3 linked regions of the Arabidopsis thaliana genome follow. The protein of the gene in region 2 purifies or fractionates together with the protein of the main gene of each other region. This does not show direct contact. Each region holds a gene or a part of one and is shown on either strand. Other genes may lie near its edges.

The links.
Region 1: the proteins of SYP61 (region 2) and SYP42 purify together in Arabidopsis thaliana (affinity purification with western blotting, with the first as the bait; one study listed by BioGRID). This does not show direct contact.
Region 3: the proteins of SYP61 (region 2) and VTI1B purify together in Arabidopsis thaliana (affinity purification with western blotting, with the first as the bait; one study listed by BioGRID). This does not show direct contact.

What each region holds. Positions count from the first base shown.
Region 1 is NC_003075.7:969,468-974,246, forward strand, and holds SYP42 (syntaxin of plants 42), read right to left. Parts: upstream 2,876-4,779; 5' UTR 2,726-2,875; coding exon 2,535-2,725; intron 2,365-2,534; coding exon 2,088-2,364; intron 1,775-2,087; coding exon 1,685-1,774; intron 1,577-1,684; coding exon 1,496-1,576; intron 1,249-1,495; coding exon 1,171-1,248; intron 1,087-1,170; coding exon 1,021-1,086; intron 914-1,020; coding exon 833-913; intron 740-832; coding exon 632-739; 3' UTR 527-631; downstream 1-526. Other genes in the region: AT4G02200 (Drought-responsive family protein), read left to right, coding at 3,309-3,390, 3,597-3,730, 3,792-3,833, 4,063-4,140, 4,291-4,523, 4,619-4,736. UniProt on the Arabidopsis thaliana protein: Contributes to the regulation of secretory and vacuolar transport pathways in the post-Golgi network, and to the maintenance of the Golgi apparatus and trans-Golgi network (TGN) morphologies.
Region 2 is NC_003070.9:10,014,201-10,018,575, forward strand, and holds SYP61 (syntaxin of plants 61), read left to right. Parts: upstream 1-1,655; 5' UTR 1,656-1,825; intron 1,826-2,206; 5' UTR 2,207-2,232; coding exon 2,233-2,286; intron 2,287-2,366; coding exon 2,367-2,480; intron 2,481-2,550; exon of another isoform or gene 2,551-2,635; coding exon of another isoform or gene 2,636-2,668; coding exon 2,669-2,782; intron 2,783-2,878; coding exon 2,879-3,066; intron 3,067-3,211; coding exon 3,212-3,302; intron 3,303-3,387; coding exon 3,388-3,453; intron 3,454-3,531; coding exon 3,532-3,642; 3' UTR 3,643-3,847; downstream 3,848-4,375. UniProt on the Arabidopsis thaliana protein: Vesicle trafficking protein that functions in the secretory pathway; the fusion of phospholipid vesicles containing SYP61 and VTI12 is triggered by YKT61 and YKT62. Together with VTI12, required for membrane fusion.
Region 3 is NC_003070.9:9,214,143-9,218,536, reverse strand, and holds VTI1B (Vesicle transport v-SNARE family protein), read right to left. Parts: upstream 2,768-4,394; 5' UTR 2,435-2,767; coding exon 2,338-2,434; intron 1,678-2,337; coding exon 1,619-1,677; intron 1,530-1,618; coding exon 1,341-1,529; intron 1,165-1,340; coding exon 994-1,164; intron 897-993; coding exon 744-896; 3' UTR 527-743; downstream 1-526. Other genes in the region: AT1G26665 (Mediator complex, subunit Med10), read right to left, coding at 3,111-3,182, 3,271-3,360, 3,444-3,546, 3,634-3,714, 3,804-4,027. UniProt on the Arabidopsis thaliana protein: Together with either SYP41 or SYP61, required for membrane fusion; the fusion of phospholipid vesicles containing SYP41 or SYP61 and VTI12 is triggered by YKT61 and YKT62.

The sequences.
Region 1 (4,779 bases), on a different chromosome or scaffold from region 2:
TCCAAGGAGGAATCGAGTCTTTGAGTATAAATAGAGTTGTATCGAGTATTTGTTCTTCAGTCTTTTGTTTTAAGAAAATCAATAAAAAAACAAAAAGAGGTAACCCTAGTTACCCAAAGAGCTTGTGTTTGCATAGCACTGAGAGGAGTACTCTCGGCTCATTGTTCTAGTTCAAGAGGACGATCATCGTCTTGCACGAGTGTCACAAAATTTTGTTTAACATGAGCCTCAAAACAACTTGTCACGAGTTTCTCTATGAGTTTATATGTCTAGGTTTGCTAATCTAAAGTGTGTGAAGCCAACGCATTCGTTTTTGTTTTATTTTTTTCTCCCTTGCACAAAAAGATCATTTTCAATTTTTCATTATGAGTTGATTACTTGATTTCCTTCATGTGTTATTGAATTTGGAGGACTAGTGATTCTTGTAGTGATTATCACATTTTCCCACTAGGTAGTTTAGTGTCAGTTTATTTCTTAACTATAGTGATTTTAACCATTTACGGTTTACACAAAATACTTCTACAGATTTGGTAAAACGATTGGAAAAGAGAATTCAACTAGAAAAAAGAGAGGGTTACTGTTTGTTACAAACAAGACAAGCTGTTTTTCATTCTAAATTGTTGGCATATGACTAAAACAAAATATTCTTAAGAATTAAAAGAACAATCATGATCAAACAGAGTACAAGGAGTATAGTTGCACATTTCACCATTGCTCCTTCTCTTTGTGTTCTCTCCGCCTATTTAAAAATTGAAATGTCTTTGTGAGTTCCATACGGTGAAAAATCTGTAGTACTCACAAAATCTTATGAGTTTTGGGTAAAGAATCAAACCTTTTGTAGTTGTTTATAGCCTTCCTCGACCGATGTAGAAACGTTTTGGACATTGTAGTCTATCCGATCAACAATCGTGCCCTAATTGATACAAGAATATAAGAAAACTAATTGTTGAGAAGCCAGCAAAAACTTTGTATCTAGCCAGTTATGTAATTCATAAGCCTTTTAATGACTAAGCTAGGCACCTGGTCAATCACAAGGGCTGATAAGTCTTTCATTATCTGTGCAAGGTCATTCACGGAACCCAGAACCTAGACAGAACTCTGAAGTTAATCGCCATCGAAAATGTGAAGCACGCAGCTTCTTAAATATGGTCGAGTAACAACTTCCATTACCTGTTGTATCTCTCGTTCCCTTTCCGCTGAGACATGTTGCCCTTCCTTCAACTTGATTGTCTGGTGTTCATCGAAACCCTACAATTTATTGAAGACCAGCGATTCTCATTATGGTATTGGCAGAGTAAGGACGACAAGGTTCTGAAGATTGATTAAAAAAAATCTGACTCGTCCTAGCATGATAACCATAAGAAGTGTTTCTTAAAAATGTAAGGAAGACAAGGATAACTGATTAAAAATCTGAATTGCTCTAGCTAGATAACCATATTAAGTCCTTATTAATTTGTCAATGATATATAGTTTTACAATACAAGTAAGCACTTACCATCCCACCAAGTTCATCCTCTTCATCCAGTCTCGACATCTTTCCATTCACATTAAACTCTAAATCTACTTCATCCTGACCCTATGATTAGAGAAGCCAAATACAAATAAGAACATCATATTACGGTACATGCATGTCTCAAGAATCAACACTTTTTTTGTTTATTTCTTGAAAATAAAGGAAACATACCTCTTTCTGCTGCTGCAGACGTTTTAAGTAAGTAGACTGTTTTCTGCGGAGCTCCATGGAAAGGTTCTGAAGATCTGTTGCAAGAGAACGCTGTCAAAAGCAGTATGCCAAAAAGTAGGTCAAGTCCATTGGAGAGCCCCACTATACATGTACACAGAACTTTATCCTCATGCTACAAACTCAAAACATAGAATAACCCAAAGTACATTATATAGAGGGAAAAAAAAACACTTCATACATTTTGCTGACTGATAATGTCAACTAGATAGGTAGTCAAAACATATGAGAGTGATTTAACCCAAAATTCCTAACTTTCTTCTCTAAAAGCACAAAAGAAAAGGTAATGACCATGCATTCTTTATTGTTAACAAGCTCGATTCTGAAAAAGTGTCCAACAACCTACCTGCACATTTTTCCTGAGATTTGATTCTTCAGAAGGCCCTCTAGTAGATAACATCTGCAATCTCTTTTCTGACTTCCTCAACAAATCTGTGATCTCATGAGTGAGCATCTCGACTTCACGATGAATCCCTTTGTTATCTCCAAATGTAGGCATAAGAGCCTTTGAATGTGCCTTTGCTAGTTCATTCATTTTGTCTCGCACCTTTTGTATATTAAAAGTTATCTCCTCAGAATCATCAACCCAAGCTGGTGGCATACCAATTGTGAAGGCATCACTACTGCAAACATTCACAACAACACTTAAATCATTTGCTCATTCTGTTACCTAATTCGTTTAGGGTTCTAATTCTGTATCTCAAATCAATCCCATGATTACAATTCGTTTCTATATATAAGTTCATAGAATTTCCCAGGTTTTGCAGAATCAAACAACACATTATATTATTACCTTGATGGACCAGGATCATAGGAATTCAAAGGAGCATAAGAGGAGTGATTGGACCGGGAAAATGAACCGCTAACCATTTCGATCACCGGACCACCGAACGAATCAGACGCCGATAAAGATAATGGAGCACGCGCGCTCTTACACGCATCCCTGTGTTTCCGGTACACCGTCGTTCGATTCCTCGTCGCCATCAATACCAAATCAATTGATTCTCAACAGAATCTCGAAAGTAAAATTTCCCGGAGAAAATAAACAAAATCGGAGCTTTTGTCGTCGGCAAAAGCAAACGAATCTGAATCGCAAAATCGTTTCTCATTAGCGCGTGTTACAGACTTAGCAACGAAGGAGAAGTATTTGGGCCTTTTTAGGCCCATTTATATATTGGGCTTATAGTCCACTTGCGCGATAGGGTCAATATAAGTGTGTGGAGCACACGTTTTAAGACGGTGGCGCAAAGACGAAAATGCCCGTAGATTCGTGGCGGCTAAAAGTCAACAGAGGGACGTTGGTGGTTCAGGGTAAAAGAGGCTATAGTGACCGGTTAGGGGTAGTTTGGTCATTGGATTTAGCTCAATAGATTCGTGTCCATGGATTCCCTCATGTCGCCAGAGAAAAAGACCACATTTAAAGGTCTTGCCTTTTTGGTGTGTTTCCTCGCACTTTCAGGCTGAACAAAGTACTGACAGATGCTAATAAATACACGGAGGAAGAATATGCTCCTTTAATTATTATCTGAGATTTTTCAATTCAAGTTCGTGTGGATTCAGAATCAAAATGGAAGAAGATTTGTTGGGCATTTGTGGGTTTGATTCGTCGAAGAAATATCGATTAGAAGAACTTGCCAAGTATCAGTCGGGTTAGTGTAAAGATCCATTCTTTTTCCCAATTGCATTTAGCTTTGTTTTAGGGTTTATGCTTTATATGCAGGTGGTTTTAATTTCTTTATCAAATTTCAATTCTTTTGGCCCTTAAGGTCTAGTGAGTTTAAATTTTGTCACTTTATGGGTAAACTTTATGTTATGTAATTGATAAAAGTTTTGTGATGGTGAAATTTTTGTTTAGGTTCATGTATTGAGTTTGAAGATGATGATGAAATGGCAGTGGATTATCCATGCCCGTTTTGCTCAGATGATTATGATTTAGTTGAATTGTGTCACCATATCGATGAGGAGCATCAACTAGACGCCAACAATGGGGTAATTGCAACTCGTATCCATCTCCCAAATCAGTTACTGTTCTTTAAACTATACATTTGAGTTTTTACATGAAGCAGTTAGTTGTAAATTTAGACTATTTATCGTGTGATGTTCATTGTTGTACTCTAATGGTTACTTTAGTAGGCAGGATTGTGATTCTGTAAGGAGAGTTGGTAGGGACTTCTTGGATTTTAGTTCACTTGGATTATTTGCTTGATGCTATGAGGAACCATTTTGTAGTTGTGAAGTGTTTGGTGTGAGAAATGAAAACAGTCTTTTGGTGATGATGAATGTAATAACTTCTCACAAATTCAGCTTTGGTTGTGATGTAGATATGTCCGGTTTGTAGCAGACGAGTGAAGATGCATATGGTTGATCACATTACCACTCAGCATAGAGATGTCTTCAAGGTATCCTTTTTTATTTACTCTTCTTGCTTTCGTTACCATTTAGTAGAAAACTTGTAAGTCTTTTTGTGCTTATTCTATATCTTGGTATGTTTTATATCGGTTATCTGACATTTGTGTTCCTTGACGAATACTTACCTTGAACAAAAGCAGAGACTTTACAAGGATGAGTCATATTCAGCATTTTCTCCAGGGACTAGGAAATACTTACAGTCTCTAATCGATGAGCCGTTGTCTACTAATCATACATCTAAAAGTGTTCTGGACCCATTATTATCATTTATATACAATCCGCCGTCACCAAAGAAGTCCAAGCTTGTACAACCTGATTCATCTAGTGAAGCAAGCATGGAAGACAATAGCTTAATAAGGGATTCAACAGAAAAGTAAGTAATTCTTTGACATTTTCTTGATTCTGCTTGCTTTATCTCATCTTCTTAAACCTTGTCTAAAGATACATTTCGTATTTCTGTGTGCTCAGAGACTGGGAATCGCCGTCTCCCTTGTCAGATACAGAGCTACTAGAGAAGGCAAAGAAGAGAGAGTTTGTACAAGGTTTAATATCATCAGCCATATTTGATCACATTTACAACTTCTAAGAGCATAAGTCTTTGTATATGAAACTCTCGCAAAGTAGTCTGT
Region 2 (4,375 bases):
ACGTCACTGGATTGGAGTGGACTTAGTCATAGGACCGTGTCGTTATATCGTATCACATGTTTCACGCTGACTTTTTGGATCCCACTTTATTCTTTTAATAAATCTGCACGTTTTAATTTTGGTTCCTCTCTACTTTACATAATATTTTACTGCTTTTTTCATATCAATAAAAAATAGGAGAATTCTCAGAATTTATTACTATTATATTTGGGTTGTTTCGAAACTTTCGATAGATGGTTGTATACTTAGAAATATTCGCATGTGACGACCACATAGTGGATGCTTGCTTCTTTCGATCTCGACCATCAAAACGGAATCACCAGACTATATACAACAATTTTGGTAATCTAATACTAAAATTGTAGAAAACACAATTTTGTTTTGGGATTGCTAAATAAATACACTAGAGATGCTAGAGAGACCTAGCCTAAACTTTCGATATTTTCCGTTTTATCATTCAAGTAATTAATATAACATTTAGGTGTAAAGGTTAATAATATATATGACATTATATTCTTAGTGATCAAAAATCTAAACATAAACTTTTAGGAAAAAGACATATACTACTTTCCAAATTAATGTAACACGATCATGTCATATAGTAATGACCATGTTTGGATGAAAGTGGTAATTATGAGACGTGATTAAGTACTCTTGTTGAATCCTTCTTTTAAACCAATACTAAGAATAAGTTTGACATTATTGTCATATTATTTGTACTCGGACTTTCCGAGTAGTAGTGGAGCCTTATTAACTAATAATAATAATACGCATGACAGGAAAAAACTGAGAAGGTCATTTAGAAAGAACCATCGTCGAAGGATGGACGGTGGAAAAGTCGGTAGACGTCAGCACCAAGCCACCAACTAATTTGGTTTGTTTTAATGGAATCATGACGTCTTTCTTCTTTAAAACTCATGTCACCCATTTCTTCCTAAATTTGGACTATTATATGATTATGGGAATTGCATTTCTTTATTAAAGTCACGTGTCATCCTTTAACTTTATAAGTTCTTCAGGTTCCAAACTCCAAAGCCTTTCCAATTTTATCGTTCCACCAAATCCTGAAATGAAAGTTCAACATCCATCATGGTCCCAAAACGTTAAAAATATTTTAAAAAATAGAGTGTGGGGGATTTAAAAATTCATGACCGCTAGTAAAATATACAAATTTTCAACAAAACAAATTGCATGACCGCTTTGTTGGAGATATTATATTTACAGTTGCCTAACGTGAGAAGTTTGCATAACAAAACTAATCACAAACTCACAATATATACCATTCTTCTGTGCACCGGAAATCTATAACACTTAAAATCTTAAATGTGTAAACCCTAAAATTTTACCATACAATTTTTGAATTGAGAAAACAATTATTTGTTTTTGGTTTCTAGGATTAGTAAACAATCATTTATAGTAGCATCGGATTTTTCATGGACTATGAATCTTCTCAATAGACAGACTTAGGTCACGCTTTAACCAACAAAAACTCAGCAAGAGTGGTTTCTTTCTTCTATAACAAATGCCAAATATGCGTTTCAATATAACCATTTTCTATAACAGTTAATAATCAAAATTTTGTAACGTAGAAAATGGTCTTTATTAATACTGTCGTAGATTTGTAATAACTTATTGGGCTCTGTGGTCTCTTATTGGGCTTTATAAGATTCTCCAGTAGCCCAAAAATAAACTTTCAGCGAATCTCAAAGCCAACCGCAGGTGATGCGTTTTGCTATGTAAGAGAGACGAATCTCACGCCGGAATCTCTTTTACTTCACCGTCGTTTGTTCTCCGTCGCGTCACCTTTCGATTAATTCCTTCACAGGTAAGGAAGCTTCTTCAATTTTCCTCTTACATCAATTCTCCTTTCGCATTGATCCTTGTCGTTATCGTCTCTAAACGCAAGCTTTTTCTCCAATGTTTGTGTCGATCTTAAAGCACATAGATTGATAAAGCCGTTCCGGTTCTATTGAATAAAATTCTAACCCTAGATTAGCCAGGATTTAATCGGAATTTCTCTGGATCTAATAGTTTTGTCGAGTTTGATCATTGTGACTTAGGAACTCTAATTTTGCAATCGTAGAATTTGCGCATCTCCAGAACAATCCCTGCCAATGAGATGAAATTTCAAAATTCTGTTTCTGTAACTAACTTTGCATAAGAACTTGTTTCTATAGCTTAATCAGCTGTGTTATTTGGTGTATAGGGTAGCAAAATTTTGTTGATTTCGGGATGTCTTCAGCTCAAGATCCATTCTACATTGTTAAAGAAGAGATTCAGGATTCTGTAAGTTGTTCAGAAATTGCCAGAGATGTTTTTTTGTTTAGATTTTGAAGTACAGTGATTGATGGATGATGCTTTGTTAGATTGATAAGTTGCAATCTACATTCCACAAATGGGAGCGTATCTCTCCCGACATGGGTGATCAAGCACATGTGGCGAAGGAGCTTGTTGCTACTTGTGGAAGCATTGAGTGGCAGGTACTCGTATTTAGTCACGGTTCTATTAATCTCGTCTTTATATATAATTTAGCTGGTGTGGAATAGGATTTGTGTTTGTAAATGGATCTTGTAGGAATGTATTGGCCCTTATTTACATGATTAGAAATTCCAATTGAATATATTCGAGTCCTTTCATGGCTATTGAAGCTGTTTTTACTGATAGGAAGGTAGATGAGCTGGAAAAAGCGATTACTGTTGCAGCAAAAGATCCTTCATGGTATGGCATTGATGAAGCTGAGCTTGAAAAACGGAGGAGATGGACTAGTAATGCTAGGACACAGGTATGTTCTCTAAGTTTGTTATGAATACTGCTTTACATAGTGGCATAAATTTGTTGTTAGTTGACTTGTGCAAGACGATTACGATTTTTTTTATAGGTGCGGAATGTGAAGTCTGGTGTTTTAGCTGGAAAGGTTAGTTCTGGAGCAGGTCATGCAAGTGAAGTGCGTAGAGAACTAATGAGAATGCCAAACTCGGGTGAAGCAAGTAGATATGATCAGTATGGAGGGAGAGACGATGATGGTTTTGTACAGTCAGAATCAGATAGGCAAATGCTGTTGATAAAGTAAAGCTCTCTCTGTGTGTTCTACATTGTTTTGCAGTCTTTTCTTTGCTTCTGAGTTTATAACGATTTTAGACTGAAGATTGTAGCATAGTGTTGTTCAAAAACAGAGTAGTGCCATAACTTAACATCATTTTTTTCACTTCAGGCAACAAGACGAAGAATTGGATGAGCTTAGTAAAAGTGTACAGAGAATTGGAGGAGTGGGGCTCACTATACACGACGAACTCGTTGCACAGGTTAGTAATATGGGAAGATGATTTAACAGTAGGACGTATCAGTAGAGATCAGAAACATCAAGTTTTTGTTATTGTGTGTGTTCAGGAGAGAATAATAGATGAATTGGATACGGAGATGGACAGCACAAAGAACCGTCTTGAATTTGTTCAGGTAAACCCCTTAAAGGTCTTGTTGCTGGTTTGATTGCAGAAAGTAAAAACTGAAAGAATGAAAATGGTATTGTGACAGAAAAAAGTGGGAATGGTAATGAAGAAAGCTGGAGCAAAAGGTCAAATGATGATGATATGTTTCTTGCTCGTCTTGTTCATCATCCTATTCGTTCTTGTCTTCTTGACCTAAAGAACAGAGCCGCGGGATCTTATAGATGGGAGTTTAATGTCTTACATTATCATGTTTGTGGTGAAACAAATGGAATATTTACATAAGGTTGTCTGTTTTTTCTTCTCCTATCCAATCCCACATATAATTTTGAACTTTGGCTGTGTGATCTCTAGAGAACCTGAAATTAAATACTTTCATAGCTTGATCCCATGGCTAAGTTCCTTAAACAATACAAATCAGTCTCATCAAAAGTAAGCCGTCAAAAACTTCCCTATAGAATACACCTTTATTATGCCTTCTTTAAGTTTCCGCAATGTCTCCTTTGCTTCTTCAGTTCTGTAACGAAAAAAAAATTCCGAAAGCAGACTCCATAAGAAACATCTAAAGACAACAAAATGACTCCAAAAATAAAGAACCGGCAAAAATCTAACAATTTGTGGCAACAAACCCGGCTACTGCTCAAAAGACCACCCTTAATAGTTCATAATTGAAGGCAAATGCTTCAACTGATCGATCATCAACGAATCCAAAGGACTCACTCACTATAAGCATGATCTCCGGAAGAATCATTGCCGGATATAATTAGTTGAATAACTGATTTATTGTTGAATCTTTCTGATACTATCGTTAAACTCTTATGACAACGCTTTTTTTTTTTTTTTGTGTGCAAAATGACAACGCTTTAGATTGTAAAATGAATAATGAGTCATTGTATCATTAATAAGAAGAGATTTGGGCTGATAAGGCCCAA
Region 3 (4,394 bases), 800 kb from region 2:
TCTATCCCTGCTTACGAAGAAGGGATTTATAGGGTGGAATGGGTTAACGAGTTTGAAGACCAGAACGTGTGGTTTAAAACATAACAGGGGCTGAGATCATAGAAAACATAATTCACGACAGAAACACATGCTCTAGCTGCGTTATGGACGGGCCGGGACTGCATAAAACTATTTGTTTCGGGGATAGTTTTACTTGTTATGTTTGGCTTGTGTGTATTTTTTGGTGTCGTGAATGTTTGATGTTATTTTAAATAGAGAGATAGAAGGAGAGGCCTTTGTTTCATGCTCTGACGTGACAGTGGGTCTCCTGCCTGCGACTGGTGATCACGGCAAGATGATTGGTCCGGCAAGGATGTGTCAGGTGTCCTAGTTTTCTTAAAACATTATAAGTATAGATCTTTGGCTCATGTAAAGACTTGGAAAACCTTATGTTTTGAGCAATGGAGTGTTTGTTCTTTTTGGAATTACATTGTTGTAAGTTTTCAAAGGTTGGACTTGAGATGTAAGTGGAAGTTTCCACAGTTGTAACTTTTGAAACATCTGCTTTATATAAAATAGTACCACTTTTTTGGAAAAAAAGACAAAAAAGAAAAGACTTGGGAAACCTTATGAATGTTAAAAGTGTTGCCACTTCAATACAAACATCGTACTTAAAAATACAAGTAACCACTTGGGCCATTACAAAGTAAATCAACCATCATATATATATACACAATCACGATGAATAATGTTTTTTGAGTATATTAATGAGAAAGCTTGTATGAGATGATCAAGATGATGGCGAGAACGAGAGCCACGATTACCGATGTAATGATCCATTTGTTCCTAGTCATTCTCCTTGACATAGCCGTCAACACCTTCTTGCTCTTGTCAATGGCGTCATCCACACCATGAAGCTGTGATTCAAAATCAGAAAAGTTAGCTTCTCAATGATCTAATTCAAACAAATCATTGGCACTGATAGATACCAAACCGAGCAATTGTAGACGGTACCTTGTTGTGCGCATGAAGGAGGGTTTGGCGTTGCTGACTCAAATCTTGGACAATTGAGATGCCAACCTCTTCTGTCTCCAGCATTAGTCTTCTACTCTCCCTGATTCTGTCACTTGATTGGTCAAGCCTCTCCACGGACATTGCCAATCTTCCTCTTTGATCAGCAGATACCTGGAACATGGACAATAATGTAAATCACAGCAAAGTCTTTGCCATCTAAAAGTTTGTGTGAAGATGAATATAAAGGAGGGTCCCCTCAGGACAAAGAAGCCTAACTGATGCAAGTCAATTAAGACAACTAAGATAATGAGAAAACAAGAGTTTCTATTTAGGAGTTAGAAGCTTACTGCATGCAGATCCGCCATTCCGGATTCCATCAACTCTTCACGGGAAGACGGCTTAGCATCTGCGGAAGAGACTCGTTTGAATTCCTTCTTCAATTGGTTCAGATCAGATTTATACTCTCTTAGTTTAGAAAGACACACAGCTTTAGCACTCGGCTGCAAACTTCTTGCCTCAAGATCCATTTTCCGGATCTACAAAAAAACCACAGAAGCATATATATTAATTTTAAAAAAGAAAGAACAGAACGGTAACAACATTAAAGCAAGTTAAATGCAAATACCAAGACATCAGCTTCGTCTATTCCAGACTTGATCTCAGCAATCTTCCCCTTCTTCTCCTCTATAAAAGCACACAACAATATCTAATCAAACCTCTACTCTGGTTCTATGGCACCACAAAATGTAACAACTCCATGCATGTCTATGTACTATAACTCCAAGAAAGACAGTGGTAACCATAGACTGACAAACAAATGAAAAAAAACACCAACTCAATAAACCTCTGCAGCTACATAACTAGGTTCTTATGATCTTATCTTCAGTCTTAATTTCTTCACAAAACTACTTGACCAATCCAAGTAAATTACATTCCCAGATACTACAGAACTCGTCAGATCGTAAACAAGCTAAAACGATTAGTAAACACTCATGCACCTCTACTTTACAAATACCCCCAAATTCGGACAAAATTAGATGAAATAGATTGAGAAACAAGTTAATAAATCTATGCAACTACATAACTATCTAGACCTAACTAGGTTATCGTCTTCTAATCCAAGCAATGAGAAACAGATCCTATGTCTCAACATTCCTAAATGTTACAAAACTTCGTCAGATCCTAAACAAGTCAGGACGATTAGTAAAGAACACTAGTCCACCAGCTACTTGTCACAGCTCAAAAGCTCCAATAACCCCAAATTCGAAGATTCGAATTTCTAAAATCAGGTAAATTCGAAGATCTCGCGTTCAAGATCCGAAATCGGGAGCGTCTGGATTTTACCTCCGTTGGAGAGAACCGATGCAGAGTGACATTTTCTAGAGAGATTGGTTGAGAGCTCGCAGTATTGACGCTCGTACCCTTCAAATACGTCGCTCATCTTCAATTATATGTTTCGATCTTGAGAAATTTGGTGGATTTTTTCTGATCAATCGGATCCTTTGTTTGATTGGATTGGATCGGATCTAGAAGCAAAACAGTTTCCTCTTTGCTTAAAGATAATCAAACAACTCTTCTTCTTCTTCCTTTGTATTTCTCTGCTCGGGGACAAGGAGGAACAATCAAACAAAGCGGTGCGTTTTATATTGACACGTGTCAGCCACTGCGTATTAAGTCCCCCATGCTGCAATCGATGCAAATGTAGGTGAGACAAACCAAACCGAATCAAACCGTTAATTAAGATTGAAATCTAAGTGTCTTTTCTCACTTTTTCAGCTCTCGGAAATAGTGTACATTTTATGCAGAACCAAGATTACTCGTCCAGGAAATAGACAAATCCATTGATAGAAGTCGAATCTGTTTTGCGTAACTATGTGGGATTCTTTGATAGTCTCATGAAATCAAAGAGATCTCAGAGGCTAAGAGTAAGATAGTCCACTCGAGTAAAAATGGGGGGAACAAGCAGAGATTCTCAAACTATATTAGCCAGGTGAAGAGAACCAACAGATATTATTAGAAATTCCACTTGGGATTGTTCGTGTTACATCACATTCATCGACTCAGTCATTATATTCTACAAGAGTACAAGGTAAACATAAAAAGGATCCTTTGGGCTCTTATAGCTCATTCTTGACCTTTGCATCCCCATTTGGTAACACACTTTGCGATTGCGCCAACCGTTTCGCTTCCTGAATATGACCAAAACTGTTTAATCCCCTTGACTTACTATAATATATTAATGAAGATGTACAATACTAGTCGAAGTTAACAACTTACAGCAGCAGAACTAGCACGGATTTCTCTATACATATCGACTTCATCAGGGAAATTCTGTTCAAGCTCCTCCAGAATATGTTTTCTCAAATCCTATTTATAACAAAATGTTGATTAAGAGACTCAGTAACCTTAAGAATCATACACAAATTAAGAATCAGAAGAAAAGGAGTCACCTTAAAAGCATCAGTCTTGCCCTTAGTAACTTGATTTCTAGCTATGCAGCTATTAAGAACATCTTTCGTAAACTCATCCGGGTTCTTCCCATCATCAATCAAGCTATACGAAAACGCAAACATAAGTAAGCAAGTAAAAGTATCTATCTTCAAAGTGCATACTAAAAACAAAAAGGACTTGTTTTCTCACTTAAGAACCTCCATGGGGATTTGAATGTTGCATTTCTCAGACAACTTAGTCATGTTATCTAGCTCCATCACAAGAGAGTTACTGCAAATACACACACACACACATATTCATTCAAACAATAGTTACAATACCCAAAACAATAAACACAGATGAGTAGAGGAGTTACTTACAGGCGCTGGAGGAGATGGAGTTGAGACGCGGGTGTGAAAGAAGTGACGGTAAGGTGTAACTGATGAAGGACTCCTAAAGTTTTCTCAATAGAGTTTATGACTTGGGAAAGATTCTCCTTTGAATCATCAGCAACGGTCACAGTTGAAGTCCCATCATTGGTTTGATATCTGATTGTACCATTGCTCCCACCAATCCCTGCACTTGTGTTCTGTGTTGGATCCATCACAAGCTGCCACAAAATATAAACTTGAGATATATGACCTGATGCGTTAGCGATAACAAAACAAAAACGAGAAAACGCAATTTTCGATCTCAAAATCAAACGAAAATTCTTCAGAAACCTTATTCAATTGGAGTGGATTTTGGTATCCAAATTTCTAATTTTAGATGCAAATTCCACAAAAACGCCCAGATCAAGAATAACGATAACAATAACAATTAGCGTAGAATGAAGATCCGTGACTTACCTACAACAGAGATGCGTTTGGCGAGAGTGAGGTGGAGATTCTCCGGACGAATTAGGTTTTCCTCCGAGCCTTACCGTGAAAACCGAAAAGGGACCGACGAAGACAGGGAAGCGGAAGATATTT